Neurospora crassa OR74A: one gene and its partner. The protein of the gene in region 1 interacts with the protein of each later gene in a pairwise test. Links are inferred from orthologs where the notes say so. Each region holds a gene or a part of one and is shown on either strand. Other genes may lie near its edges. The genes, in order: NCU08067 and NCU03591.

The links.
Region 2: the proteins of NCU08067 (region 1) and NCU03591 interact in a protein complementation assay, tested with the Saccharomyces cerevisiae proteins (2 studies listed by BioGRID). The link is inferred for Neurospora crassa OR74A from reciprocal best matches to the Saccharomyces cerevisiae genes SHO1 and YBT1.

The regions. Positions count from the first base shown.
Region 1 is NC_026501.1:152,533-168,334, reverse strand, and holds NCU08067 (osmosensor protein), read right to left. Parts: upstream 10,299-15,802; 5' UTR 9,057-10,298; coding exon 8,907-9,056; intron 8,829-8,906; coding exon 8,520-8,828; intron 8,459-8,519; coding exon 7,949-8,458; 3' UTR 7,219-7,948; downstream 1-7,218. Other genes in the region: NCU08069 (hypothetical protein), read right to left, coding at 2,492-4,180, 4,328-4,372; NCU08068 (mitotic spindle biogenesis protein Spc19), read right to left, coding at 5,161-5,745; ro-10 (RO10), read right to left, coding at 11,823-12,253, 12,324-12,546; NCU08066 (amino acid transporter), read left to right, coding at 13,726-13,799, 13,869-13,948, 14,007-14,590, 14,644-14,803, 14,854-15,605. UniProt on the Saccharomyces cerevisiae protein: Plasma membrane osmosensor that activates the high osmolarity glycerol (HOG) MAPK signaling pathway in response to high osmolarity.
Region 2 is NC_026505.1:1,737,849-1,753,290, forward strand, and holds NCU03591 (ATP-dependent bile acid permease), read right to left. Parts: upstream 13,703-15,442; 5' UTR 13,272-13,702; coding exon 13,204-13,271; intron 13,117-13,203; coding exon 8,070-13,116; 3' UTR 7,653-8,069; downstream 1-7,652. Other genes in the region: NCU03588 (FPD1), read right to left, coding at 3,257-3,953, 4,034-4,311; NCU03589 (hypothetical protein), read left to right, coding at 4,829-4,841, 4,948-5,618; NCU03590 (hypothetical protein), read right to left, coding at 5,873-7,146, 7,362-7,458. UniProt on the Saccharomyces cerevisiae protein: Vacuolar class C ABC transporter which regulates the translocation of phosphatidylcholine to the vacuole lumen, the release of lumenal calcium stores, and acts as a negative regulator of vacuole fusion. Exhibits ATP-dependent bile acid transport.

The DNA of each region.
Region 1 (15,802 bases):
TTTTTCAGAGACCCTTCTAGATCCTCTCGGCTGAGATGAAATTTTGCATACTGCGTACACTAGTACACCTCTAGCGTGGCGGAGAAATGTTTGGATTGGATTCGTTCGATTGGCAAGTCGTCAGTGTCAATTACCATCTGTTTATTGATGCCATTCTCCTTGTGTGTTATTATCTTCAAAGGTGTTCCACGCGGAACGTAACCTTACCCTCCCGTTCTTTCATTGTTGCCCGCAGGTATGTGGTTTCCATGGGTTAGCTTCACTGATGCTGTACAGACGGTAGGTACCTTCCTTACCATTGGAACTTGATATTAGAGGTACCTTTTGTAGGGCAAACATACAGAAGGTAATCGCTGTAATACAGGTATTGTAAAGTCGTATTCTTCATACAACCCCTTGTAGAAACACGCCCCCCAACGGGCCGGATCCGCGAGTGATACGAAAAGATGCAACAGATAGAGCCGTCTAGATCTTTTGATGTTCGTTCAGCCAAGATTTAGGCTTTAACACGGCCATATCAAAACCAAAAAAACTCGACGACACATTTTTATATTGGGAAAAAAAAAAAAAAAGATGTCTGCCTGGTACCTACAGGTAGTCTACTAATCCAAGAACAGTGAACCTCTTTGACGATCTCTCACAGAAATATGTACCCACACCATAGCGCGCGCGGTTTGCTAGCTAGGGTAGCTCGTTGCAGTGCTGCTGCTCCTTCGCTCGTTTGGGACGACAAGACGTTGACTTTAGCTTTGTCTCGGGAACTTCCGGACGAACGAGACTACCACAAGTACCGCCGACACAGAAACTTGCGATTTGGGCGAGCAAGATGTTGTCGAGAATTGACTCGAAATCCCATCTTCATCTCAGCAGCGTCTATTTGTGTTTCGCAATAGGTCGGCGAATTTACGGGGACATGTCGGCATTCCGGTCATTGGGTCCCGGTTCGGGTTTTCAATTACACTATTGAAAGATCTTCCCAGGTCTACCGACGTCGTCAGCCCGGACGGATGGATGGATGGATGATGGACCACCTTCGTTGGACTCGTATTGTCTGTCTTATCGGATTGTCGGAAGATTTCTATCGATGCGTCTCTTCGCCATCAGACTTTTTTTTTTTTTTCTCGCGAGCTTGCTTGGACCGTTGGCCACCCACTCAGATACGAACGAACGAGACGAGAGACGGAGGCCTCCTCGCTTCCCGCTTCATTTTGCCACGGTGGACAACATACAATTGTTGGGGAGCTTGCAAAAGTTCCGAGCATATTTGCACATAAAATCTTTTCACCTCGGCTGTCTTGGTGTTTGACGTTGTCATTCGAAATCGGGTCGTTTGAAAAACGCGGTCTTAGATGTCCAAGCTGGCCTGGTCGAGGTATGGGGATCCATGTAGAAATCCTTATACATAGCCAAGCTTCAGTTCACTTTTTCCCTCTCCGGGTCCGTCCCTGATATCTGTGCCTGGGCATGCTTGCTTGGCTCGCTTGGCTCGAGCCTAGGCGGCGGAAGCGGACGTATCTCCGACTTGGTGGAGATTTGTACGTGAAATTGTCGAACATGGTGTAGCGTGGCATCTTTTGTCGCGTGGAATCGTGGTCCGTAGTCGCTGCTATGATTCGGAGTTCCGCAGGGAGTGACCATGGTGGTTCGCTAGGTGTACATAGTATTTGAGCCGGCTTGGACCAACAATGATCCGTATCAGCTGAACAGTGCTGCCGTCGTTGACGAAAATGAGTAGTGTCGATGAAGATGGCTTGCTCCTTCGACAATGTGAGGTCCAAGGTTCGGGCGGCGTTCATCATCCTGAGAGGTACATACAGTACAAATCCCGTTCATCCGCTCCATCCGGGGCCGATCCGGGGCCGACTCGGGGCCGACCCGTTTCCGTGTTGCCGCGATTCCGGGGCGCCGATCCCCGGATAACCTGACGGCAGTTGGTCTCAATGATATCGGCTTCATGATTGAACAACTCAAGTGGAAACCAGGGAATATCACAAATACGTACTTCTTGAGGTGATTTGCGCTAAAACACAGTGGTACCAAATGGTCGGGACGGCAGTTGAACAGCGGAGTCCGTGGGGGAACTCAATTCTCTGGCTTTATCTTATCTTATCGCTTCACCAGGGTCTAGAACACACTATGTATGTACCTCTACAGGTAGGTACCTGTACCTCTAGAGTCAACACCACCAAAACCATCAAATGTTACGTGTACACACATTGAAGAGGTATCCTGATGTTCATATGCTGGTCGATATGTTTTTATCAACCATCAGATCAATTCAGACATAAAGAACAGCGTAGCCAGCAATACTATGTCGATTAGGCCTTCAATTTAGGTGTATCTTCCTCCTAGTCCGGTTAAATACGCGCTTCGCTGGGTAACTATCTCCATGATCCTTTGCTAAAACAGCTGTTTTCATTTACGTTTTTCTTTTCTTTTGACGCCAATTCCAAAGCACACGCTCATTCGAATATCGGAAATCACCCCTTCTTTAATCCCTCATCTTCTTCCGCCAATTACCCCGAAGCTCTTCAGAGATGACGACCTGTGCGTCTGACCAAGACCCGGCACGCGCACAGCTGCTACTCTTCGCAGCGCTTTCGCCCTGCTCGTTCCCGCCGCCGTCACCGTATTTATGTTGCTTCTCATGAGCCTCGACGGCTTTGACCTGCTCTCTCATGCCATCAAGCGACAAGGCGCGAGCTCTGGTTTCGCCTGCTCCTGCTGGCATCACGACATCACTCGACTCGCCTACGGGGCTAGCTTCTTCGTCGACCGTAGTGCATCCGCACTCGCATTCGCACGCCATACTCTCAACGGCACTGTCCGTAGGCGGAGAATCGACATGAGCACCGTTCTCGTCGCAGCTGCAGCGTCCATTTCCACCATTGTGCTCAACCTCCACCTCCACCTTCGAATGTCCGCGTCCGTATCCATGTCCATATCCATATCCTCCTCCCAACCACTGCTCTTCCTGCTGTCCATAACGCGCAGGCTGTCCATGTCCACGTCCCCATCCCGGCGCCGTTGTCCTCCAACCCATCAATTCCTGCGTCCATGTCTCTTGTTGACCTTGAGGCTGAGGAGGCTGGTGGTGATGCCGTCCGTACCCTCCAACACCCAAAGCCCGCAACTCCCTCACAACAGCCACCATCTCCTCTACTTTCTCCCTCTTGATCTTACGGAGGTGCTTGGCGCGGCGGCGGTGGAAGTTGTACTTGCCGTGGCGCCAGATCTCGACTTCGTGGGCGGCGTCGAGGCCGTTGAGCTGGGCGTGGATATTATGGAGGTGCTTGGTCAACTCAAGGACGTTGGGATCTTGGGATGGGGGGTGCAGGAACTGGTGGTGGGGTGGGGAGGGATGATGAGCATAGGAAGGGATAGACCGGACATGGGGTGGACGGGCAGGAGGGGCAAAAGGGATTGAGAAGTGCTGGTGGTGATGGGGGTTGGGCAAGTACTGGTAGTCATGGGGGTTGGAAAAGTAATGAGGGGAGGGAAAAGACAAGTTATAAGGCTGAGAAACCGGTGGGTAATAAGGAACGGCGTACTGCTGCTGCTGCTGCTGCTGCTGAAAAGGAGGCCCAAAAGGTGGCTGCATGTACAGGGGAGCACTGGAAGCTGGGTGGTAAGGAGTCCAGCACCCCGGTGCGTTGACATAGGGTAGTGAGTGGCCATTGCAGCCTTGCTGAAGATGAGGAGGCGAGTATTGCTCATCATGGGCTGCAAACTGGTTCTCGTGGTCGTGGTCACAGCATCCTTGATGCGCGCCTTGTGAATACGTGTCTCCCTCGTAGCCTTCTTGGTCCGGCTGGCCTAGATCGCCGACTCTCTCTTCCCGAGCGCGATATTCGTGGATAGCTTGGTTGAGCTTTGCCGTCAAGTTGGGAGTTTCGGAACGACCTCCGCCGTTAGATGCCTCCGGGGTGTTGCGGCCAGGAGCCGGGGGTGAAGCCGGGGCGGAGGCTGGGATGTAAGCCATGATGATTCTGGGAGCGCCGCAGTCACTCTTTTCGTTGTCGTTTTTCCCATCTTTCATTGGTTCAGTAGCGTTCTTGACGTCGGCATTGTTGTCTACGTTGCCAGGTTCCTTCTCGGATGTTTCTTTGGCAATGGGGGTATCCCCTTCTGAGACCCTTTGTGGCTCCTCCATCCCCTTGACACTTTGCTTGAGGTTTGCCTGTCAAGCAGGTGTCTTTGCTTTTCCAGTTCAGGGTTGCAAAGGGAGGTACCTGCTGGTCCTGGATTCGCTGGAAAACGTATGGGGAAGCCAAACAACTTATACCTCTCAGTGCCGCCAAAAGGCTAGCAACGAAGGACCGATTACCAATGTCTGAATCACGCCGCGTGCTATTGTAGCGTCTGCTGTCATCATTCACTTGGCCGACTGGCCTATTGTCCATCTTCCATCTATTCATACGACACCGAACCTTGACCACATTGAAGGCTGGAGCTCGTCAGGTTATTCGTGGGCCCATGGGTAGACGGTCGTGAACCCAATGCGTCAACCACACGGGCAGGTCAGGCGGAAAAATGGCCATCGGAACACTGTGGGGACTTGCCTCCCGTGTGATGCCCGGTCCAACGCGCCGATATTGCTCATTGATAGCAGGGTTTGCCGGCGGTGTCACACTGTCATGGCTGTTTGCTAGACGCCGGAACCATCTGGAGGCTGCTGGGCTGACTGCGGGCACGACAGGGTGTTTGACCAAAATTGAAGTTGATGGGATCAAGGAAACTGGCTTTTTATTCCCCGCTTGGAGCGTTTGTTGGCGACCTAGTAGTAATTGGCAGCAAATTTGGGTGTTGTTGGTCAGGCACGAATGAGATGAAGTAGAAAGGAAACATCGAGGGGATTTAAATACCAGCAGTTCTGGGCCCCAAAGGAAGAAGTGCAAGCGATTCTAGCCATGCAGAAGTGGAATGACGTGGCGAGGCTGTCGATACCCTGCCCTGACTCACGACGGTATCCTCTCGAGACCCCTAAACCATGCATGAGTCTCTTGACCCGGTGTCCAGTTCGGCACATGGGAATAGACAGCTACTGTGTCCGTCCACGACCGTGGCGGCCAAGCCGTCCCTCCTTTCCAGATCCGTAAGCATTCTGGTACCGCGGGTTCGTTTGCGGGTGTATAATGCCGTTTCCCGTATAAACTTCCGTCACAGCACCGGCCCACCTCCCTGCTGCTCCAACCTCATCCTCAACTCCCTCTCCTTCTGGGCCACCTCCATCTCCAACCGTTCGACACTATACTTGAGTGCCTCCTTGCGCTGCCTGACCACTTTGGCTCTCAGCGCAGCCTCCCCATTGAGCTTCTTCCCCCCACTTCCACTTCCGGCCTCCTTAGTACCACCACCCTTCTTCTGTATGCCGCCTCCTGCACCACCACTTTTCTGTTCTCGATTGTAATTCGACAGTCTCCCGCCATTGAGCTCACACCTGGCCTTGAGCGTCTCCACCCTCCTACCTTTTCGCTCCAGCTCTTTGTCCACCCTCTCCAGCAGCAGCTCGATGAACGGGCCGATTTCGTCGCGTAATGAAGCTTCGGCAGCTTGTAAAGTCGGTTGGGGGATCAGTTCGTAGTGCCGAACAGTTTTGAGGACAGAGGAGAGTCGGGGGAAGTCGGAGGTGGACGAGTCGAGGAGGGAGAGGGAAGAGGAGAGGAGGTTGAGAGAGGAATGGAGAGGCGGGAGGAGGGTGGAGAAGGAGGGGGGTGGTGGGTTGTAATTGTAGTTGTAGTTCATCTTGGTGATCGGGGTGGACAATTCTGGTCCGACGGTTTTTGAATAAATCTCTAGTCGTGACTAAAGAGGCTCGCGACTTGGAGATAGGGAGTCTGCGCCGGCTGTTTGGTGGCTTGGGGATTGTGGGCTGGTGCTCTCTCGCGGTTTGTTTACTTTCGGCGCGGTGGTCGTTTGTCTATGGAAATGGATCGCGATTTGGTCTAGCCCAGTTGGATATGGCGACAGTCCTTGTCTGTGTTCGAATGGAGATATGCGGATAGTCGTTGCCCCGTGTTGATCTGGGGAAGCGAAGAGGCAAAGATGAAGACGGTCGGAGGGGGAAAGTGGAAAGCCGAAGAAAAAAAAGACGATCCGTCGCGTTTCTTGTCTTCGCGCGTCATAGGTACCTACCTAACATGCCGCCTAGACTTAGTGTGTATGTACCTACTGGGGGAGCCTTCCCGATCCCGCTGTGGGGGACACTGCAGCCCCCTGAACGGTGGACCCTTTTGGTGGGACAACCCGTGCACTAACCTAACGGCTGCCCTGTGGGGCTGTTAGTGCCGTGCCTTGCATCACCCCGCCTTCAGATTCCATGTCTTCAACCCCATCTTCCGTTGTCCTGATCTTCAGCTTCCGCCCTCCCAGATCCATCTCCCCCCAAGCAGTGCCGTACTACCTACCACCGTTTTCCTCTACTTCGACCCTTCAAAACGTCCTCAACTATTCGATCACAGACAAGAACACGAGCTGGGCAAAGCAAGGTCAACTAAACGAGCACGACGAGAAACGTAGGTAGCGAACAGAGTCGTCGTCGAGAGAGCTGAAGAGCCACGCTTCCGGCTTCGGATGATTCAGACCTGGCTATAGGCGAATCTTGAGATACATAGGTAAGAACCCAGGCCGAGAAAGAATGGACACCTCATCGATGTCGAATAGTCAAGTTTCTTGTGGTGGAAATTGTAAACATATGGATAGTAAGAGCAATATGACGAGAAGGAGCACAAGCGGCCTACGGAGGAAGATTGGCACGATGGGTACCATCAGAACCAGAGCGGTGACGGCGTAGAATAATACCTACAATGAAACTGGGTGCGGAGATGGATGAAGCTACGTAAGTTACCAACAGAGAGCAACGCAATGAACTGGGGAAATACCTCTAGAGTAGAGATGTCAGTTCCTTGGACGGGCATGTTTGCAACCAATCTGCTATTGCTTTAGCGGACTACTACAATTGTAACAAACTACCTATGTAGTGTACATTCATAGCTGTCTTTGTCACTAGGTGGCTGGCTGTTTCCATGTTGGACCATAACAATGTAAGCAATATCCCTGTCCGAGATGTGATGGACATGGGTAGTGGTGATGAGCGACCTGGAGCGAGGTTAGGTAAGATCCTCGCATCTCCACACCTTCGCTCCTGGCTAATTTCGATAATCTCGGATTTTCCTCCATCATGAAGATTGGAAATTGGCGATTGAGACCCGCAAATTGGGAGGCAGCCAACAAGCTCAATTAATCATCGGACTCGGTACATTATCGATATCATGATCAAGCGGACTGTGTCTTCATTCTCTACAGGTAGGTAGTTCCAACATCCCCAACTCCGGCCGCTGGATGTTCAATTGCTGCTTGTGGGTACATCTCCTTTTGGGTTCACAGCCTCCATCCGTCCGTCCATCTTCTCTCCGTTCCTCGCCATGCATGAAATTCGTAAAAACAGCACCCATTTCCATCTTCCCCCGCTTTTTTGTCCTGTTCCCTCTTCCATTGCCATTCTCCAGTAGCGGCCTATCCTCTGCCGTAGCTGCCGAACGCAAAATAGAAGACATGTAAAGTTGATACAAGAACTAGTGTAACACGAGAAAGGAAAGACATTGAGAAAAAGGGTAAGAGAAGATAGAAAAATGACATTGCAAGAAAAAAGGGAAAAAAAACTCCATTTCCACCCAAACCTTGCCCCGTCCGCATCCAACATCCGGTTTCGCCTTCGTTTCCAAACGAGCCACGGTTTTTGGTGTGTCGCATTACGAGTCCCGTGGGTGGTCGAGAAGAAAGTGTAACGTTAATGTGGGTATAAAACGCCGACTCAAAAGAAAGATAGATAAAAGAAAAAAAACCACTTCATGATTTTGTTTTGTACTGGCGGTTCACACGCCAAATCCTCTCTTTTCAAAAAGACGAAGAAAAACCTCAACTCCATCCCCGACCCATTCAAGCCCGCTCATAGCAAAATCAAGTAATTGCTCGGCGCAATACCCGTTTCTCCATTCTCCTTCCGTGCCTGCCACCACCGCCCGCTCACGTCGCTAATCTCCAGCACCTCATGCTTGGAGAAACTAATCTCGTTGGCATCGTCCGGGTTGGCCTCATAGCTGAATATCGCCTTGGCCCTGTACGGGTACTCCGTCGGCGGAACGATCTCCCCTTCTCCTTGCGGCTTGGGGATGTTGTTGGACGAGAAACCCTGGGGAATCTGCGACTGGCGAGCGGGGTTTTCGAGCCCGTTGAGCTGACCCGTGTACATTTGCGGAGGCTGGAGGCCCGAGGCCGAGGTTTCAGGGCGCATGTTGTAGGAGCCGTAAGCATTGGGAGAGGAGAGACCGTTGTGGTTCATGGTTTGGCGGCTCATGTGATGCGCAGGGAGGGTGGATTCCTTGGTCAGCGCAAAGGAGTCGATGTAGGCACGGGGAACAGCCGATGGGGCGGAGCCAAAGTAGAATATCCAGATGATCTGGCGGGACGTTAGCAAATGGGGTCAGCCAGCTGGGGGAAGTTAGCGGGGAACCGCATACCGTCACCATGGACAACAAGATATACCCAGCCGCTGTCGCCTCCATGGACGCAACGCCACTGTAAATCAGGTTGTTGATCGACGACGTGGAGCCGACCAGCCCGACGGCCAGGTAGCCAACGATGGCGACATGGTAGGTCTGAGCGCTGTCCGAGGCGATGACGATGAAAATGCCGAGAATGAGGAAGAAGTTGAAGACGAGGGTGAACCAGCTGTAGGTTGGCCAAACAATGACGGGAGCCCCATTCGATCCGTCATTTTGGTCCCTAAAGCCAAAGATGGATCCAAACAGGATGATGATCCATGACAGCTGTGGTGATTGTCAGTTCGTGAAGGCGACAGGACGGGAAAAGGGTGGACGCCAGCGCGCGCGCGTATGGAAACTCACAGTAGCAATAGAAGTAGTGGCCAGAGCAAATGGGTCACCAATAATGTTGCCCATGTCTATGCCTTTTCGGCGGTACGAGTTCCTGCCGTGTTCCATTTTGGGGTTGTTGAAGGACGGGGGATAGTTAACCGATCCTCCGTACGATTGCATCAAGGGCGAAGGTCGCCAAGGAAGAGCGTCCTCTCGGGATATTCGAGGTCCGTGTTATAAGTGATGGACCGACGTGTGTGGGACACTTTAGTTGACGCACACCTTCACTTGGGGTATAAGATGACGGCGAGGGGCCGTGTGTGTGTCGTATTCCGGGGACCAGTCCGCGGTTGGTAATGCGATGTGTTTGTTCTGCAATGACAGATGCAATGTCACGAAAAAAAAAAGAGAGGAAGTTCGACGGCGACAAGTGGTCGAAGTCGAAGCAAGAAATTCGGGTCGGGTAGCAATTGTCGTTTGCTGCAAGACGTTGAGCGAGGAATTCGGTGTCCAGCAACGCGGTATGGCTCGTCTCGGTCGTTGCAAATATGGGTAGGTAGTAATTGGGCGATGTATGGAAATGAGTCGAAGGTAGGACAGTTGCAATGTTATTGAAAGATTGGGTGGTCGCTGTCGGGCTGCTCCGTCGGGTGTTTGTTGGTTGGCAATCCGCAAAGAGGAGGCTGAGTCCAAGGGAAGTGGCCGTCGGGTACTCCAAGGACACTCAAGACGAGGACAGAGCCTTTGAATCTTCAGGGGAAATAAGCAACGAGTCGGTCGCACGGGTCGGGAGATGTGACGGTACGGTAGTTGTCCGTTGGAACGAATGGCGGCGGCGGTACGGTATGGGTAGATACGGTAAACACGCAAGATCAATCGGTAGTTGGAAGAAGGGCGGTAGAAGAGTCCACTGGAAGTCTGGAAATGGTCCTGGATTCCTTTTTCCTGTTTTCTTTCTTCTTTTGTTTCCCTTTTTCTTTGTTTGTCCGGTGTATGACGGTAGTCGGGTGTGATATCTCGGTACCTGCCAACGTCGTATTGTACTATCCCCCCGTCTTGTTCCGGTTCGCGTTAATAAAGGGCTCAGCTCAGCTCAGGGTCGGACAATCGTATGCTGTCGTCGTCGTCGTCGTCGTCGTCGTCGTCGAGGTTGATGAGGTTGAGGGAACGAAGGGAGCGATTGATGGATTGAGCAAATTGTTGTTGGACGTGGCTGGGGCGATGATCAACGCCGGCCAATGGAGAAGTGAAAGGGAAGAAAAATTGAAGGAGGGAACGAACAGAAATGAGGGGATCGCACGGGCAGGACGGACGGACGGGGACGTGAAAAGGGAAATGGTGTGTGTGTGGGTGTGGGTGACGACGGCTGGGTGGTGGTGGGAGATCCGGAATGGAAGGCCAACGACGGGGCCTGGCTGAGGGACTCCGGGGCGGGCAGCAACCGGGGGGGGATGAGGTGGCTGCTGCTGTGGAAACGAGTGGACGAGACCGCGCAAGAGAAGTGAGGAAGGGACCAACAATGGAGCCCACTGAATCCACTGAAGATGGGGGGGAGCCATGTCCGCTGTGGAGGCTCTGGACTCCTGGAGTGCGTTGCCTGGCGGCTGCTCGCTGCACAATGAATGAATCCTTCCCTTGCAGTGACATAGGTACAATGTCCGGGCAACACGCGGCAACACTGCGAACGAGCCAATCGCATTATTGCATTTGCTGGGCTAATGAATGCAATGTCCAGTCAGAAGAGGCACGGTCCTCAATCTCACTGCAAATCGTTAGGCCAAGACATTCCAGGCGCTGCTTACCTACTGTACCTCTAGCGGCTGTGTGGGGACGGGAGCATGGAGCAAATTAGAGGTACACAGACACAGGGCGGGCTACTGTAGCAGCTCGATTTCTTTTTCTGCACTTTTTGACAGTCTTTGTAGCTGATGGTGGTGATTGATGGGGAGTCATACCTACCTAGAGGTAGACTCTGCTTGGGTGATTAACCTGTTCAAAGTGAATGATGGCTCTAGGGTACTGGGTCATGGCCAGGACATCTTTATTTTTATTCTTGTTTTCTTCTTCCATCTTGATATATCTTACCTCGACACTGTTCAAACTCATAGTCAAAAAGTCTCAAACATTCACAACATTGTAACACTCGGAAGTCAGTCAGGCAGCTAGCCATGTGGCTTGCGTCTGTGCTCCATTCACTCATTGCTAGGTCGTCCAGAAACATCGTGACCGACTGTAAATGATAGGCTGAGAGCTGGCTACCATGCGACATCACTCAGCTGAGCTCGGTGACGGGCAGAAAATGTCAACAGAGAGACGGATTCACCATGCCACGAATCCACACCCATGCAGCATGCAGGCAGGGGCTTTAGGCTCGCCGCGTGAGTTCTAGGGCAACGCCGTTCGTTTCGGAATCCCATCTGCAGGAGCCAAACAATCACTGCCGGCTATCAAGCGTGTTTGTGACGTTTGTAAAAAGCCTCTCCCGTGAATTCTCATTCCAGATAGAGCGCTACCACAGCACCGTCGATCTGGTTTTTGTCGGTGCTAACGGCGAGCAGAGTGTTGATATCGGCTGAACATTCCAGTGGGCCAAAGATGACGCCCGACTCCCGCGCATCTGTCGCGTGATATCTGCCGCGCAATGACATCTGCCCCATTCCCTTGGTCACTAGCATTGTTCTCGTACGAATGTGCCAACCACTGTTGATCTGCTCTTCACACTTCGTAAAGTGCACGCGCGCTACCAACGGCGTGTCGTATTCCATACGCACAACCCCAGTGATTTGTTCGCGGTCGCCTAACCTGTTGATCAATCGTGACGCCGTTCTCTAGCGGCGGTAAAATGGCTTCCGTGTGAGTTTTGTTTCCCGCAAGCCAAAATCCATGCTCCTCCGCTTCACTAGCCATGTATCGCATAATCTTGTCTCGAACCTCCTCTTTGCCTTCTCACTCTATAGCGGCGTCCATCTCCCTCACCCTCTCCGCTCTCCTTACCCTCAATTCGCACTTTTCCACCCTCGCTTCACCCTCCGCCACAAACTTGCCGTACCCCAGCACCCTCTTCTCATACCATGCCTTCATCACGGCTTCGCTCCTCTCCCTGAGCTCCGCTATTTCCGCCTCTTGCGCCAACTGCATGGCCTCCAGTCCCTTCATCCGGGGTATCAAGCTCGCCAACTCGGCCGAGAGTTTGCTGTCGGGAATCGCGGATTCAATGGTGTTGGCTGGGGCGGCTGCAACTAGGGCGGACGCGGTCTGGGGAAACTGGGAGGCGTAGGAAAGGACTGTCGCGAGAATGGCAGCAGGCGGGAGGTCCGTTGGTGGGAGCTTTTGATCGGCCGAGGGGGAGGTGTGGAAGAGTGTGGGGTTGGCTTTGTCTGGTTTGGGGCCTCTGGTTAGCTTTGAAGTGATGCGAAATGGAAAGGTGGGAGACAGAGAGGGACGTACGAATTTTAAGCAGCTCGGCGTACACGCGAAAGCGCCGAATGAGCAGATTGAAGCGGTGTTCAAGCTGGGCAAGAGAGGTCGTTGCGGAGGAAGAGGGCGCTTGCGTTGGAGGGTCGGAGGGGCCGTAGAGGATGTGCTCGATCCGCCGGAGACGGGATTCGAGGAGGGAGATGGTGGCTAGAGACGTTTTGTCGAGGCTTGAGGTTTCCTGGGAGACGTCCATGGTGTTGGTGGGCGAGTTCTGTTGGTAATTGGGGTTATGCGATGCGGTATCGGTGGTATCGGTTATACCCGCCTCGAGGGGATGTCGCAAAGATGAATTAAGATGGTAAACAGAAGCTGAGCTCAAGCAGTGGCAATTGTCCAGAGGAAAAAGAACCTTGACGGCGCGTGTCTAGACCGATGACGGGTCGTGTAAGGCTGTAAGGTAACATACCGTTCAATTCAACCCCGCCTCCGCATCCCGGACACCGCCCGTTGGACAGCGACTGGTGCCCGGACAACACAAGGCCCTGCTCCTGGACAGTGGAACACTGAACAAGCTACCTACCACTGTAAACTCTCATAAGGCTGGAGCTTGGCTTTTTTGATCTTGTTATTTCAATGACCCCCGATAGTTCACCGCTGATCCACCTGGAAGGCTTCTCTTCCCCTGAACGATCTTGTTTCACTCGTAAATTACACTCGTTGGATGTTAGTGCTGCGGTGTGGAGTTAGTGACGGAGTAAGGTACCGAACCCGTAGGTACCTACTATGTACAAATGTGAAACAAAAGGCCCGTGTGACTGAGCAATGACAGTGAGCTTGGCGTTCGCGGTACCTTTTCTGTAGAGGTAGCTGACACCTTCCCTGGAACCCCCATCGAATCCCCAGAACAAGGAAGACCCGTCATTCCCGTCTGTGCTGGCGCTGTTCTCCATTGCCCACGTTGCGTGGATGTCCTTGTCAGCTCGCTAAAGTTGGCTTTTCTACTTTTCTTAACAAATAAAGTCTCGTCATCATCATCGATCCCTTTTTTTTCTTCCCGTATGAGTTATCGAACACGCGACCATATCATCCATCCAACATCGGATCGAATCGCCCCCGAATAGGCACTCTGCTGCTGCTTTGCAGACTTACACTCGCTTTCCCCGATGCTGTGACTTGATGACAGTCGACGACAACTGACGGCGCCGACTGCCCACCATCACTCGGTACTTATCTTCATTGAAGCCTCGACTCGAGCACCTCATCGACCCCGGCGATTACGATCCGGTTGCGATACGTCGAATCCCCCTTCCTTCCGTCTTTTCGTTCCTGAAGGCTTTGGGCGTATCAGCACCGACTACGAAACCCATCACTTATCCAAACCAACATAACATCCCGCGACACCACGAGACGGTCCCCCGAAAGAAAAAGTGATATGACCAACTATCATACTATACCCAACAGCGGCCTTCTAGGGTCGAGTCACGGTGTCGGAGGAACCATGGTCCAGTACGTTTGCGCGACTACCTAGGTAGTTCCGGCTCTTCTGGTCGACATAGCTGACGGCGCAATGTCTAGACAACGAAGACTCCGCGCCCCCAAGCTGGGTGGCGGCCAAGCTTCCATGATGAGCAGCAACATCAACCTGCTGAATACCAGTGCGTCCCAAGACCTTCGCCCCCCAAAAAAGACATGTCTAACCGGGCAACAACACAGTCATCGGGGCCGGTACCCTCGCCATGCCCCACGCCATGTCCAAGTTCGGCGTCACGCTCGGCGTCATCCTGATCGTCTGGTGCGGCCTCACCTCTGCCTTTGGTCTCTATCTCCAGTCACGCTGCACGCGCTACCTCGACCGGGGCTCGTCTTCCTTCTTCGCGCTGTCGCAAATCACCTATCCCAACGCCGCCGTGGTGTTCGACGCGGCCATTGCTATCAAATGCTTCGGTGTTGGCGTGTCGTACATGATCATTATCGGTGATCTGATGCCCGCGGTGGCGGCAGCGTTCGGAGCGGGGAATACCGGCTGGGACTTTTTGGCTGACCGCAGGTTTTGGATCACCGTCTTCTTTGTCGTCTTTCTCATCCCGCTGAGTTTTCCCAAGAAGCTGGATTCGCTCAAATACACGAGTCTGGTGGCACTGTTTTCGATTGGGTATCTGATCATCCTGGTGGTTTACCACTATGCGGTGGATGACCATAGCGAGAGGGGCCCCATCAGGCTGGTTACGTGGGAGGGACCGGTGGCTGCTTTGAGCAGTCTGCCGGTGATGATTTTTGCGTATACTTGCCATCAGAATGTGAGTACAGCGACTCTGGCCCCCCGGGAGATTAGCCTGCTGACGTGCTCCAGATGTTCTCCATCGTCAACGAGATCAAGGATAACTCGCCAGCCAGCCTTGTCGGCGTCATCGGCTCCAGCATTGGCTCCGCTGCCTCGGTCTACGTTCTCGTCGCCATCACCGGCTACCTGACCTTTGGCAACGAGATCCAGGGTAACATTGTCAGCATGTGTAGGTATCCCCGATTTCCATCCCTCTCAACCAAGCCTAACATGTCCCAGACCCACAATCACTAGCCTCCACCATCGCCAAAGCTGCCATCGTCTTCCTCGTTACCTTCTCCGTTCCTCTCCAACTACACCCCTGCCGCGCCTCCATCGATGCTGTCCTGCGCTGGCGACCTGGCCGCTCTTCTCGCACGCAAAATGTCTACTCCCCACCCGGCTCCGGCAACCAACCCCTCTTGCCTTCTGGCGGTGCTCCTGGCGCTGCTCTCGACAGCCACGGCGCCCCCGTAGTCGCCATGTCCGAACTCCGCTTCGCCTTGATCACCTCGGTCATCCTGATCCTGAGCTACTTCACGGCCATCAACGTGTCTAGTCTGGATAGAGTGCTTGCCTACGTGGGGTCTACCGGGTCGACGGCCATCAGCTTCATCTTGCCTGGACTCTTCTACTACAAGATCAGCGACCCGGAGAGTATATACCACCAACGCCTCACCAAGGAAGACGACGATGCCGAGTACTCCTCCTCCTCCAGCTCATCGTCTGCTAGCGATGGGGACGAAGAAGAGGGGTCGCCAGGACCGTCTGGATCTGGGGCTGGGATGATGGACAGCATTGCTAGCGTGAGGAGCAATACCAGCGTGGGAAGCAGGCTGGCAAGGACGCTAAAGAGGAAGTGGAGGTGGGATCTGGAGCACTTGGAGACGGGGCTATTGAGGAAGATGGCGCTGGGACTGTCGATCTATGGAGTGATTGTTATGGTGGTATGTTTGGGAATGAACATTGTGCTTGGGCATGGGGGCCACTAGACTCCACGGTCCAGAAAGACGTTAGATGGGGTGTTGGAGTAGGCGTTTAGACGGGAATCTTGAGTTTGTGAGGTGGGCGATATCGGCAGATTGACATGCTATATACTCTGTATAGTTTGCGAGGAGCTGGCAGCATTGGGCTAGCCGAGCTCATAGCGATGGGCGTTTGGGACTTGGGATAGTTGCGTTTCTTGGAT
Region 2 (15,442 bases), on another chromosome or scaffold:
CTTGCTTTCATTTTCTTCGTTGTTTCGCTTCCTTGTTCTTTCTGTTCGTTGTTTGATGAACGGAGGAGATCGAGTGGTCGCCGGCACTACGGTCGATAGTAGGTAAGGTATGTGTCGCATCGTTGGAAAATGAGTGTCGAGAAGATGCTTTCCGGTACGGAAGAGAGAGATAGATCAAAAAGGGACTCCCCAGTTGTGTCTGCTAGAGACAACATATGATGTGACAAGTAAAGGTAATGGAAGATAGAAAAGTTGAGAAGTTGAAGGGGAGGACAAGCGGCTTGCTAGGGACCAGAAACAGAAGTGAATGCCAAATCCTTCTGAATGACACTCAGCTTGGCGGAAGCAGAATTTGCACCTTGTAGTGGAGAGCCTGCGATGGGACAAAAGGCGGGATGTTGTTTGAGGCAGGGGGGAAAAAAAGAGAAAGAAAAAAAAAAACTAAGGAAAATGTGTAAGAACATCCAACCTCGGAGCAGGAAAATAGGGCCAAGAGCATTTTCTGCAAGAGAGACAAGGAAACAAGACTTGGGGATGTACGGGAGGACAGCATAGCAATATCCAAGGACCGCATCTTAGCTTCGCATTGTCGTCTCACACATATGTGTGTTTTCTACTACTGTAGGCCACGCCAGGAAGAGCCTCAAGTAGAAGCAAAGACCCTGGATGACACAGTTCAATTGCCGAGGGTACGTGCTTACTACGTGCTGGACCTTGCACAGGCTCTGTGACAAAATTTCGGTTATAACTTGCCAATCACAAACACTTGTTTACGATCGTGCCACCCCTCGAAGTGATTGCATTATGTCTAAATCTGGGGGGGTAGGTGAGAGGGGTAAGTGGGGAGCGCCGTGGTGCCAACTCCATCGCATCTACGGCTTAAATCCGAGGTGTATCTTGCAGCTCGGTTGCCGTGCTTCTGCTAGATACAGACGGAAGTGATATGTGGGGGAACTGCGTAGGTATGCTCGGATCTGGAGTTCGTCGTCGCCGTCATCTCGCTGCTGGTGGCGATAGTTGGTCTGTGGAGAGATATGGATCTGTTGTTAGTGATATAGGAAGAATGCTCGGCATCGGTGCGTCGATGGCGAGGAAGAAGATCAGGTAAAGGGGGCGAGATAACGTGGGTAAGCCCCAAAAGCCTCAACATCTGCGTGCAGAGACAAGTTTGATAGGTAAGATAGTTGCATGATCTTTCCACGGCATTACTGCAAGGGGAGGTTGGCCTGAAAAGGTAGGCTATTATGGCGGCGGAGACTGCAAGATAGTCGAGAAGCAAGCACTTGGCGTGGCTCGCCGGGTAGGTGCAAGTTCAGAATACTGTGACTTGGTGCTAGTCTCGTCGACGCCCTCACGATGCCCACTCCAGTCTAGGTGCCTGGAGAGGTAGCAAAGATAGTTAACATCAGGCATAGCACCCGACTGTTACCAATTGTCCAGCTGTCCAGGCCTTGATCTCAACACATGTTAGCCAACTCCGCCATCATGTCAATGCCTTGTGGATATGTGGGTACCTTTGCAAAGTTGATGCCGTAGACGTGGAGATTCACTGTGTGAAGCGCTGATTGTATGCCAAGGGGATGCGATACAGCACCTCAGCCGCTCAGGTTGAACCATCGATGTTCTTGTCTCGCCCTCCCGAGTTCATGCACCTGTGCCATGACGGCACCTCCCTATCACCGTACGTCGTAGTGTGGTTCTGTAGCACGAACAGGGACCAGAGAAGCCTTGCAAGCTGGTAAGCGTTGGTAATTGACTGAAAGACAATATTTTCTTTTTCTTCTTTTGTTTTAGGAGGGGGGGGGGGAGGGGGGGGGGCGGGAAAGAGGAGAGGATGTACTTGGCTCTCATAAACCTGCCGAAATCTTGGTACTGGGAGGCAGTGCATAGGCACAGGATGACTGGCCTTCTATTCGCAGTATCGAAGACGGCGAATATTGTACCCCCTTGTCAACGCTGCGGTAAAAATGTTGCGCAGCCCTTCGTGCTTTAAGAAACATAAGTCCAATTGTCAGCCACTGCCACGTCTGCCAAGTTCTAAATAGGGTTGCATACTAGAAGATGACTGACCTTTTTCCTGTCCAGTGACTACGGTTGTGCCTCAAAATTCGGGCCACCTGCAGCTGAGGTACGCCAAGAAACAAAATAAACGAGAGCGAGAGTTAGAAATGGAGGTGGTGGGCGAAGGGGGATTCAGGACGCCCTTCGGATAAGGCAGGGGCGGAGCGAGAACACGCTTCCTTTGCTGGAGCAGAATTGGAGACACAGGCAGAGCTGTCCTCTCCCCTAACGGGTACAACCGATAAGTGCATAACCTGTCGGCTTGTTCGTTATATCTTAGAAAACACTACCGTAATGTGATGCATGGTATTGGAGAACCTGCAGTCAACTCCAGTCAGCCACCATTGCAGTCTGCGTTTGGTGGCCTTGCACAGGTCCTCCTACGTGGATGATGGTGGGCTGGGTGGACGTGGACGTGGACGTTGACATTGACTTAGCGAAGCAGTCTATCAAATTGGCATAGTAGCATGGTGTCAGGTTGAAATTGCTTGTAAGTGGCATCTTGAGCAATGAAGCCTAGAACACCAGCAAGTACGGAGGAAATGAAGGATGAAGGGGGGAAGGAAAAGGCAGGTTGAAGAGGGAGAAATAGCGAGGATGCAGAAGAATGTATTGAGAGGAAAGAAAAGGAGGAAAAGGGTAATAAAAGGTGAGCAGAGATCAAATAGAAACAAGAGGAAGCAGAACACAGAATGGCAAGATTGATGGTGCAGGAATTGGAGCATCGCGGACTCAAAATGCTGATTTGAGGTCGATAGGAGAAGAAAGGAAAAAGGGTTGGACAACTTGAATGTGCCCTGATCGTAAAGTCTTGTGGATTTTGTGGACGGGCATATCGCAAACGTCCGGTGAATTATCACAAGGCAGCGGCCTGCCCTGCTTTCAAGTGCTTCGCCGTTTGTTACCAAAGTTTACGGGGTAGGTAACCAGGCGGATATGTCAATACACGGATCAGGTATAAGACTCACGCACCGGCAATCATTTTCAGTAATCATGAGTACTAAGCCCGCCCGTACGTAACACGCTGATTGTGAATTTTGATGCACCTTCTTTCGTCTCGCTCTCTTTTCAGACCGATACCAACGACCATCCCCAGAAGTATACCAAGCTCATTGTACCCAGTCCTAGCCATGTCCACTCCAACAGCCGGAACGCACAGGCGTCTACTGGGCGCTTTCGCTTGACCTTGAGTTCCCTACTCAATCCTAGCCCTCTTATTCTCACCCTGATCTTCCTTTTCTCCACTTCCACCACCAGCCGGATCCTCTACATCCTCCCTCCTCCTCACGGTACCAGCACCTTCTCCAAGCTCTCCTCCATTTACGCCACCGTCTTCCTCTCCTTCGATCTCGATCTCAACCTCCTCGCCACCGATCCAATTCCCCTGTTCATCGAAGTACTCGTGCACGTTCTCCGCCGTGATCCACCCGGAACTACCAGGCATCGGCGGCGGCAGACCTCCCGAATTCGACCCCGCAAACACGCCCTGGAAACCTTCGATGGCATCGCCCTCAAAGACTATCCTGTCATCGTCGTAATCTTCGTCTTCGTCGCCTTCTTCGACGGGGTCGGGGTTGAGATCGGAGCAAGCGGAGATGGCTTTGTAAAGTTTTGTTGCTTCATTGTCGGGTTGTTTCTTGCCGATTGTTGGCTCCTCCTCGATTTCGGTTTGTTGGGATTCGGTGGCAGGAGCAGGTTGGGGGATGAGGGTGAGTTCGACGGTTTCAAAGTCGTCGTCGTCGGCGCCGCCGTCGGGGGAGAGCTCGAGCTGGAGGAAGACGGAGGGGTACTTTGTTTCGCCGGTGCCAATGGTCTTGATCGCGTGAATGCTAATCACGGGGTAGGGGATCTCAAAGCCAACTTCGGCGGAAGGTGAAAATATCGTGAGGTTTCTGCAAAGAGGAGGGGTGGGGTTGTCAACTTTTGTTCCAGCGCGTGAGGACCTTGACGGTTAGAGAGCACATGGACATACTGGGAGTTGACGTAGAGATCAACTTTCTGCTCAACGGTTTCCTCAGCACCCTCACTCAAAGCGGCACTTTCAGGAGCTGTAGGTTCGGCCTCGAGGTCGGCCGGGAAGAAGGGCAACCTGCCGCGCTGCGACTTGGGAATCCAGGCCTTTGCGCCGGTCGCATGGTAGTAGAGGACTGGCTTTCCGCCAAAGAATGTCTCGGGAGTTTGCCGGAGGTGCTCTTCAAGAGGCTTGAAGTCCGCAAGAGCGGGCGGCGTTCGGATCGTGGTAGGAGCCATTTTGTTGGTTTGTTAAGGTTGTGTTTTTTGGTGTAGAATTACGTACAAGTTACCTCTGCGAGCTTGAAGTTGTGAAGCTGCTAAAGCTCCAGAAGCTCTGGGGCTCTGGGCGACCTACATATCTTTTAGTGGGTCCGATTTGCTCCATTATGGGGCTTATCAGTTTATCGTTCCCGCTGTGGAATGACCCCTGTAGCTCCATCGACACTCATCATCGCCCACTGCACCAGACTGGAACATCCCCGCGCATCCAAGTTCAACAACGTCAACATCGCTTCCCTCGACTCGGATAGGAACCTCGAAATAGATTCACGACACAGGCGGAACTACCTCGATTGAGATACTATTGCAATCACATCGAAGTACTGCAACCTGAGCCCTCAGATAGACGGTACTCAAGCACTTCATCTATCCTCTGCCACCCGTCGTGGTCCCAGTCCTCAAGGTCCTTCGTCCGGCCTGAAACATCACTTCTACCTCTCAGCCTCGCAGAATTCCCCTACCACAACTCTTCAAAATGCACGACAACCGTAAGTCGCCCACCCCCAACCCTCCCCCCTCGCTATTGTTTTCTTTTTCCCATCCTTCCTCTCCCTCCTAACAACATCCTAACTAACACCCCCTCTCATTACCCAGGAACCCATCCCCTCCTCCAACAACTCCCCCTAACCGTCTCTCCCTTCGTCTCCCTCCCCTCCTCCGTCACTTTACCCTACACTTACAAGCCCATGCCAAGCGCCCTCCCGCCCTCTCCATCCGGCGTTGGCGTCAACACCCCCAACCAATCCGAAGGAGGCGACCCAACAGCATCAGCGTCCTCCAACAACAAACCAAAATACATCATCTCCCCTGCGTCCGGTCACGCCGCCCACCCAGACGACATCATCGCCTCATGTCAAGCTCTACAAGCGCACGTCGCCAAGTTGCAGTCTGACGCCAGCGCGGAGCTGAAGGCTTTCGAGGAGAGAATCAAGAAAAGGGAGCTGGCTGAGAAGAGACGGGTGGCGCCGGGGTGGTTGGATAGTGAGGCGAGGTTGTTGGAGCCGGAGCGGAAGGGTGGGAACTCCAGCTCCACCAAAGGAGGGAATGGTGGAGGGAGTTTGCTGGATGCGCAAGATGGTGAGAGTGACGAGCAGCAGGGAGGAAATGGGGGGAAGGATGGCAGTATCGCTGGGTTGACTCAAAGGTTTGGTGGGCAAGGGTTTGGGTTGGGGCACGGAAATGGGGGTCCAAGTGAGATGGCGGTGCCAGATCAAGGCGAGGAGTTGGACAGGGCGTTTGGGGTGGTGGGGATGGGTCAAAGGTGATGGTCTGGTTGCAAGTTTTTGGCGATGTGAGTTTGCGATTACGGAAATCCAGTATCGGTGACACGATTCTTTCAAACTCTGCACCACTACCTCATAGCCCGGCGAAGTATCGTAGCAAAATAGGTTGGGGAGCGAACAGGTGGCCACAAAGACATTTGAACATGGAGAGGCGGATGTAGTTGACGACCTGATGAACTGCGTGTGACAGAAACTATCAGCGAGAAGCGTCTGCCTGTGCCATATCTTGATCGACATCACAACTCCCTCATAACCTCCTCGACGGCCTTCAACGCCAACTTCCTCCTTTGCTCCTCCGGTACTGTGCCGCTCATATCCCTAACAGCTTGCAACTTGAGCATCATCTTGGCGATCTTCTCCACATCTTCCTCTCCTATCTCTTCTTCCTCCTCCTTTACCTTGTCTGCCCCAGACTCAGACTCAGCGCTCGGTCCAGCCTTTGCTACGTCTGTGGCAACAGCAGCGGATTCCCCCTTCTCCTCACCTTTCTTCGTCGCCTTTTCCTGCCCTTCTGTTGTCTGCGTCACGCTCTTCAACGCCTCCAAGTCTTCTTCCGCCGTCCTATTCGAATCTTCAGCCCCCTTCAGGAACGCCTTCCGCATTTCCATTTTCTGCTTCTTGGTGTACCCAAAGCCAAGATCGAACTCATCCTCAGCATCCCCGTCGTGTTCATCAACGTAGTCCTCTTCGTCTTCAGACTCGTCGAACAGCCCACGATTGTGGTTGTTGTTATTGTTGTCGCCCTCGTCGCCGTCTCCGCCTGACCAGTCATTAGACTGCAGTGCCTCCAGGACTCGCGCGATGCCCATCTTTTCGCCGAATTCGTTTCTCTTCTCCTCCCCTTTCTTGCTGTTGTTGTTGTTGCCGCCACCAACCCGATGATGAACAAACTCCAACCCCCACTCCGCACACAAGTCATCCCATTCATTAATCTCATCTTCCATGTCGACGTCCATTTCAGCAAAAGTAGTCTCACCATCACCACCACCACCGATATCTGATGACACCGTCGCCGTCGCCGTTGTTGTCGTAACGCCAACAGCCAACCCCACACCCTCCCACTCCCACCCACCTAGTCCCTCCCGCACCACCTTGCCCACCCCCTTGATCAACTCCCTCGTCTTTTCTTTCTGTGCCGCTTTCACCTTGGCATCATCTTCACCACCTGAAGAAGAAGAAGAAGATATAGAAGACCCAGATGATGAAAAAGGAATCTCAAAAACACAAACAACCCCGCCCAAAACCCCCAGCACCTCCTTCGCCTCCTCGCTCAAAAAGCTCGCTGACCAGTCGGCAGGCGAAGAAATCAGGTCTAGCCAGATGGGGATGGATGCAGTGTAGTAAGGTGTAGAGAGAGAGAGGTGGTGAGTGATTCCTGCAAGGGAAGGTTCCGTTGCCGTGTGTTCTGATGAATCTTTTTGTTCTTCTTCTTCGTCTTCTTCTTCTTGTGAGGGTGGTTGTGGTTGTGGTTGTTGTTGTTGTTGGGGAGTGGGGGCCGTGCCGGTTAGGTCTATTATTTGTTAATTAATGGGGAAGAAAAAAATAAAAAAAATAAAAATGTTTGAGAGGGGGGTGGGGGGGGGGGGGGGGGGGGGGAGAAAGAGAAAGTGGTGGTAAAAGGTAAAGCGCTGGTTGGTTATGTATGCGAGAATGGGAAAGATATGGGGAAGTAGTAATGAGAGGGGAGAAGGGCAGAATGAAGGAACATGAGGTGGCATGGCATACCTCTGATGACGGCACCGAGATGGTCTGAGGAGTCGGTGAGGGCGACGGCTAGGATTCGGCGCGGGTTGCCAATTTCTTCCACTTTGGTAGGCACCATTTTGTCAAGGTTCTTAACTAAGAAAAAAAAAGATGGGTTTGTTGTTTTGTTGAAGTGAGGGGCTCCGAGAAAGTAAGTCGCCAAGTGGTGTACTGTAGCAAGATGAGCATGGGGATGATAGTGACACCTGCCTATGGTAAGTAACCGTTGAACCGTGACGCCACAGCAAGTGGAACGGGGGATAGGGAGTTGGCGCAGAAAAGTGGATCTTGGTGGCTTACTGGTACATAGTATGTGGCGCATATTATCCATGGACTTCGTTCGGTCGCCATCACCAACATTTATTTACACAGGTTTCAGCGATCATATTCGTAGTTCTGATCTCTGTATATACACTACATCATCCATGCCCGCTGTCGATGATGTCTATCATCTCAAAGCAAATGTGTTAAGCACCAAAATGAAATATGCGCTCTTGTTTTCCTCCATCATCCTGAACCCAACCCAGAAAGAAAAAAGACACCCCCTCCATCCCGAGTTTCCATCTCATCATTCGTTGGTCTATACCCTTCTGAATCATACTCCATGATCCATCAGGCCATTTTATAACATGACTTAATCCCATTTTGACTTGCATCTGTCACTTTCCTTTCAGCATCTCCAAGAGGAATTTAGTTTTCCCCATCCTTCTTTCCCTCATCTCCAGTCCCGCTTCCCTCAGCAGTGGTAGCCGTGCTCGGCTGTTCATCCTCTTCATCAATATCAACCAACTGCTTGGTCTTGTACGCCTTCTTGGCGATTTTGACCAGCGTGTCGTAGTCACCGCTCATCTCGCACATACTCCTGAAGCTGCCATCGGTCTTCTGCATCAGCTCCCAGGGATGTGCGTACTCGACAATCTTGCCCTTGTCCAGCACAAGGACCTTGTCATAGTCGGCAATGGTCTGCAGACGGTGGGCAATAGTGATGATGGTGCTGGTCAACTCGCGGATGGTCTCCTGAATGGCGGCATCGGTGGCGTAGTCGATCGAGGCGGTGGCCTCATCCATGACGAGAACAGTGGGCTTCTTGAGCATGGCGCGTGCCAAGCAAAGAAGCTGACGCTGACCCTGCGAGAGGTTGTTGCCGGACTCGGTGACGGGAGAGGAAAGGTCGAGGAAGATGTTCTTGTTGGTAGCAGTGGCGGGACGAGAAGGCTCCGACTCGCTCTCAGGAGCAACGGGGGTCTGAGGAAGAAGGGCGGTGCTGACGGCACCAGGGATGACCTCATCAGCCTTGATCAGGTGCACGCGGCGAAGAGCGGCAAAGATCTCCTCATCAGTGTACATGTTGAAGGGGTCGAGGTTGGTCCGGATGGTACCCATGAAGAGCGTAGGCTCCTGAGGAACGATGGTGAGAGCCTCACGGAGATCACGGAGACCAATCAGACCAATATCAATATCGTCGATCAGGATCTTGCCCTCATCCGCCTCCAGAGCACGGAAAATGGCCAAAGTCAGGGAACTCTTTCCAGCACCAGTACGGCCCACAATACCAATCTTCTCGTGGGCTTCAATCTTGAAGGTAAGGTTGCGGAGCACGGGCTCTAATTCAGCTCTATAGCGTGTAGTGTAGTTGATGAACTCGACAGAGCCGTGGGCAGGCCAGTTCGCAGGCGGACGGTTGTCCTCAACAACAGCCACGGCCTCTTGCTCGACGTCAAGGTACTCCTTGATGCGCTCAACGGAGTTCATGTTCTGCTCGTTCATCGCATAAAGACGAACCAGCCAGAGTATGTTATCCGCAAAACCGATAGCATAGCTGAGAGAGATACCCGCAGAACCAGGATCGATCTTGCCGAGGCTGAGAATGACGAAGACTCCAGCAGAGAAAGCAACGAGATCACCAAGAACATCAGTCCTGAAAGCGAGCCATCTGTTGGCAGCCCAAAGGTAGATGAACGGGCGGATCTGAGCGTTGATCTTGGCAAAGTTTTCCCGAATGAAACGTCTCTCAGCACCATACGCTCTGATGGTGACGACACCGCTCAAAGTCTCTCCGAACTGCTGGAAAAGAGGGCTGCGTTGCACGGACTCCAGGCGCTTCAGGTCGCGCGAGGCATGGAGATAGAAGGCGCCAAGGAAAACGTACAGGATGGTGATGAAGAAACCGGCAATCAAGAAACCGGGAGTAATCCAGGCAATCAAAGTAACGGTGACGCCAATTCCGAGGACACAACTCATGACTCCAATAGCAATAGGCGCAACCTCCTGGTCAATAGCCTCCAAGTCCTTACTGAATCGGTTCATGATCTGTCCGAGAGGGGTGACATCGAAGAACTTGAAACGGGCACCAGCGACGGCACGCATCAGACGCTGGTGGAGCTTCCACGAGGCAGTCAAGGAACCGAAGAAAATCCACATGTCCCTGGCGAAAGCAGCAACGGCGCCACCGATACCGATGATGGCCAGCATGGTCAAGTAGTAACCCACGTTGACATCACTATTCGAGGTGGTCGAGAAAGTGTTGCTGTCGTTGCCCTTGATGTAGGTGGCGATCGAAGCAAAGTAGGTAGGTGAGACGGTCTGGCTGGAATAGCTCTGCGAGTTCATGTTGAAGGTGGGTGCAACAACCTCGTCCATAGCGTATTGGTTAGCCCATTCCTTGATCCACAGACTGGTGGCGACACCAGAGAACTGCTGAGCGCCAAAAACAACCGCGGATAAAACCCAGAACCACCATTTACCCATAGCGGTAAGGTAGAGCTTCATGACAGGCCACTTAACAGCACCAGTAGCCTTGCTTTCTTCCATAGCATCCTGTTTCTTGTGCTCCTTCTTGATCGTCTGAGCCTTAGTCTGAGATTCACTGCCGTCGGCCTCGTTGATCATGGTGTGGTCACCTTCCTCTCCGACACTAGACGGAACCCGGGAAGGGACGCGAGAGACATGCGCGGAGCCAGGATAGGACTTTTGGGCGAGGTCCTCGCCGAACTTGCCAGCCGCGATGAGCTCCTGAGGGGAGCCCTGTGCAGTAACACGACCATTGGCCATTTGGACAACGAAGTCGGAGAAAGGAACGCAGAGAGGGATGTTGTGAGATACGAGGATGCAAGTGCGATGCTTCATCAAAGGACCCATGATGCAGTTGCTGAATATCCACTGAGCGGTGTGAGAATCAACGGCGCTAAGGCAGTCATCCATAAGAAGGTGCTTAGAGTTGGAGTAGACGGCACGAGCCAGCGAAATGCGCTGCTTCTGGCCACCGGAGAGGGTAATGCCCTTCTCACCGACCAAGGTCTCATCGCCGTTATCAAGAATCTCCAGATCACGCTCCAGAGCGCAAGCAACAATGACGTCCTTGTATCTCTGCTCATCAAGCGGTGCACTGAAAAGAATGTTGTCCTTGATAGAACCATTGACAAGCCAGGCTTGCTGGGCAACATAGGCGCACGTGTCGGCAAGGCCAGTTTCGGGGTCGGGGCGGACATCCTCACGGCTGCGGCCTCCGGGAAGGAAGACACGACCCTTGAGAATGGTCATCTCACCAAGCAAAGCCATAAGCATAGAGGACTTTCCGCATCCCGTGGGGCCAGTGATGACGTTGAGCTTGCCCTGCTGGAATTCGATATTGAGGTCAAGGAGGCGGAAAGCCAAGCTTCCGTCCTTAGCAACAGTGTTCCTGCCGCCCCAAATGAAGCTGGCGTCCCTGAAACCAATAATCTTGTTGCCGTTCTCGTCAACGCTGTCCTGACCCAGTTGCTTGTACTTTTCGGTCTCCTCCTCAGATAAAAACTCCTCGATACGGTCTACAGACACCTTGGACTCCTGAACGTGGGCAATCATGTCTCCGAGCTGGTCAAGCGGATATCGGAGCAGCATAAACAGAGAAATGGCGGTGAAGGCGATGGAGGGATACAACGGCTTCTTCTCGATGACGGTGTAGACAAAGAAGGTGAAGAAGGTGATGAGGATAGGAACCGTGTTCCAGACAGCTACTGCGCAAGCCCAGACCATGTACCGAGCCCGCAAGGCCTTGAGCTCTGCCCGTCTCTTCTCATCAACAATGGTCTCAAACCTGTGCTCCCAAGCAAAGTACTTGATGATCCGGATGTTTTGGAGGACTTCGTTCGTGGTGTGGATGCGCTTGTCAGTAGCCGACATGATCTTCTTCTGGGTATACTGGAAACTCTTGGCAAAGCCAATGTTGACAGGAAGGAGCAGAGCCATGATGATGAAACCAGGGATGGCACTGTAGCCCATGACGCTATAAAGCAGGATAATGGCTACAATCAGCTGTGTAGGAGCCGAGGCAATGAGGAAATGAAGGTAGCTAGTGACCTCAGAGACCTTGAAGCTGTCGACGGACATCAAGGTAGTGATGGTTCCCAGATTGGCCTGCTCATCAGCCTCGGCGGCCTTATCCTCGGCCTTTGTAACGGCAGTCTCAGCCGCAGACTGATCATTAGCCTTCTTGTCATCCTTCGCAAGACCCAAAGCGCGCTTGAGCTTTGCGCAGAAACCCTTCTTGGCGGGAGCTTCATCCTTCTTGTCTTCGCCGAGAACCTTGTCGTTACCGGCGGCAGCCTTTCTTCTAAGCGCCTTTGCGTAAATCTCACCGACAAGGATAGCACGGATGTTGATGCAAATCTTGCGACCGATCCAGAGGGCCTGAGCGTCTCCAACAGAGCGGACAATATCAGTGATAGGGAGGAGGATCACATAGAGCCACAAAACGTTGCGGGGAGCCTGGGTCGGGTCTTCAACATATTCGAGGATAGCCTTGAGTAGCAGGGTGGGTGCAAAGGTGAAGGCGCCCGACATAATAGCCCAGGCAGCCTGCGCAGCAACCATACCCTTGAAGTAGCTCAAGAGGTGGTAAGCCAGCGAAGTGGTCTTCTGCACTTGGCGGTAGTTGGCCAAAACGGTGGCGGCCTTGTCAGTTGGAAGCAAATTCCAGACCCGGTCGGCAGTCAACGGCTCCTTCCAGCCTTCCCACATGATGGAGTCAACCCAGCCGAAAGTGAAGTGGGAGAAGAGAGAGGCCAAGTTCTCGCGACTGGGCTGGATACCGTCCTCCCACTCGAGAATGACCGTCTTGTTTCCCTTGCGTGTGCTGATCGACATGAAGAAGAGGAGCGAGGTCAAAGCGAAATCGACGATGGTCAAAGTCTGCCTGAGCTGCGTCGCAGGATGGACAATGACGGAGCGGAAGCCAATGAGCGAGAACAGCCACTGGGCAGAGTAGATGGCAGCCGTGTGGTTCCAGAGGTGCGATGCGCGCCATTGGGTGTTTCTGAGAATGAGACGCAGCGCGGCGAGAATCAGGACATAGGTCCAAGCACTGAGACCAGCAATGGCGGCAATCTTGCCGTGATGGCCGCTGTAGGCTTCGAGAACCAAGGCGACAACATTGACACCGACCAGACCGGCAATGGCGAGGATTTCGATAACGGTAAGGGCAGTTTGACCGGCAGGAGTATCAGCCTGCACGATGGAGCCCTTGGTAGTGACCTTGGCCAGTGCAAGGCGGCCGCCATTCATAGTCAGCGCTTCATCTTCGTCACTCTCGTCGACCGGTTCTTCGTCTCTGGGTAAGTAGGTGCGGTCCTGCTCGTTATCGGCGACGCGATCGTACCCGTGGTTCGGTTTTAGCTTGGCAGCTCGGAGGAGATTTGAGGTGAGAAGTCGTAGTAGGGACAGCCCTACGACGATCAATGGTAGGAGGATCTTGAGGTAACTGTGGAAACAAGTTTGTTAGCGGTCGGCGGTGGTCAAGATGAGGGAAGATAAGCGCAAAGCTGGCGATGGCGTTGTTGGGACATACTCTTCCTGGAAACATGGCGTGAAATCGTCGGTCCGCCATATCGGCCACCCGCACTGAGCGAAACCCATTTCGCGCGCTCAGCAGCGCCTTCGTGTGGCGAGCGAGCTGGAGACAGAGGAGGTGTGTTTTTTTTTTATTTTTTTTCCAATGGCCTGGACGTTGATGATGTCTCGGGACAGCGGGTGATACAGCCCAAAAAAAAGACGTCGGAACTTTGCTGTTTTGTCGCAAAGTCCGGCTGAGGGTTGGTTGGGGCCGTCGAGAGGTTGATATTCTCTGGCGGGCTAAAGAAGTATGCGGCGAAGGAAGACGGAATTCCTCGAGAGCGAGCGAGGTTCGAGAGGAATGAATTTTCCGGAACTCGGTCGACTTTAAGTTGGATAAGAAGCAAGCAACTCCAGTCGTGGGTGGATGACGGGATGGGCCTTGGTTCTCTGGTCTTGGCTGGGATTCGCCGTACTGAAGTTGCCTGTCGTTCCCCGCTGTGGATGAGGGTGAGTGGTCAGCGCGAGGTCTGCCTGCTGCAACCTACCCTCCAGTATTGTTGCGATGAGCAATTGCCCGGCACGCCGGTGGGGTCGATTGGACACCTCTTTAGTGTTTTTGGGGGGCTTTTTAGCCTTGATAGTGGGGCTATGGATCTCGTCTTTAGACCTGCCAGTTGTCAATTGAAAGACTTTTTTGTGATCATTTGGAATCAACAAGCGGTGGCCTTTCAGTATGTATCGTTTGTTTCTTGTGGTCTGGGACTGGTCCTTGACAAACCAGAAAATTCATCTTCCACTACGCTAGACTGGTGCTCCGGGCTTGATTTGCCGAGTCAAAAGAACATGACTGAAGCTATGTAAGACGGCAAGGCCCGAAGGGGAAGGTCGCATCAAGATGGCTGTATTATACATCACAAAATCCCCATCGACTAAACAGCCGGTAACACATCGATATCTCGAAGCAACTGAACATTATTGTTTTCCGGCCAGGCAGATGTATAAACTCCTTATGTTGGCCGTATCACACCTCATTGTGGGCTTCGAGGCTCGTCATCATCAGCATCATCACCACCACGACCTCTTCATTGATGCCTATCACCAACACATTATATTCTCATCGTAGGAAGTGTCTCCCACCGTTGCGGTTTCTTATCGCTTTCTGTCCCGCCTTCAGATCGATTACAACTTTGATTGGACCAGAAGACCCTTGATTGTGTCTGACGCAGTACTTGTACACTACTCTTAGACTCCAGCCTCCTCCGCATTTGGCGCTTCGTCTCTAAGTGCCCAAGTGGAATCCGGACCCCCGGAAGCTGGGACTACAACTGGGGAAACTATGTGGGTTTGGGACTTGGGAATTGGAGTTGGGAACTGGGCGGGAGGGGGACACAACGCTCGAGCCACCTACCTACCTACCTATGGCGTCGCATTGTCAACCTGTCAGTTTGACCTTGGATGATACAATCAGGACAAGTCAACCTCTTTTTTCTTGAATCACATTCGAATGGAACAATCACAGCCGATCAGGTTGCGCAAAACACATCTGTCGACGGGCACAAGGGGAGGTGGAAGGGGTTCCCGTTGTGATGGACAACCCAACTGAAGATAACCAGCTGCGAGCCATCCATGTGACAGCTAACAAGAAGGACACGGAAACAAGGGTCCTTCAGTTGTGTCCATGCACAACCTAACGGGTACGTATCCCAACCAAACAACCGAACCTCCACCACATACCGTACTCCGCCGTTTCGTAACATGGCAATTACTGTACAGTATTGGCATGACAACCAACCTTGGATTGTTTTTGGACCTGGAGAGTAGTTCAGTTCTGGTAAGCCATCCGCGATCTGTATAAATCCAAGTTCCAATATCACCCTTCAATTGACATCCCAATCGCTTCATCTTCAGCTCATTCGTGGTCCATCCCCCTCTAAATCCAATCTTTGGGACCGAACGGTTACAACGATTGCTACAGTACCTCACAGGTAGGTACCTAGGTACATATGTGTGTACAACCTCGCATTCTATACAGTAGGTATGTTGGTGGGTCTCTAGCATTCACTGAGCACAGCATTCACTAGGCCCAGACCCCACTCTGTGCCCTGCCCAGACCGCACCATATCTAGCCTTCCAAACTTTACTAGTCTCCCTCTTTCTCCTCCATAATACTCAATTAATCGTATCCAACCGCTTAATTTCGATGGTCTTACAGGTTATGAGCCCTCTCTAACCTTCCCTGTAATCGCATTTTG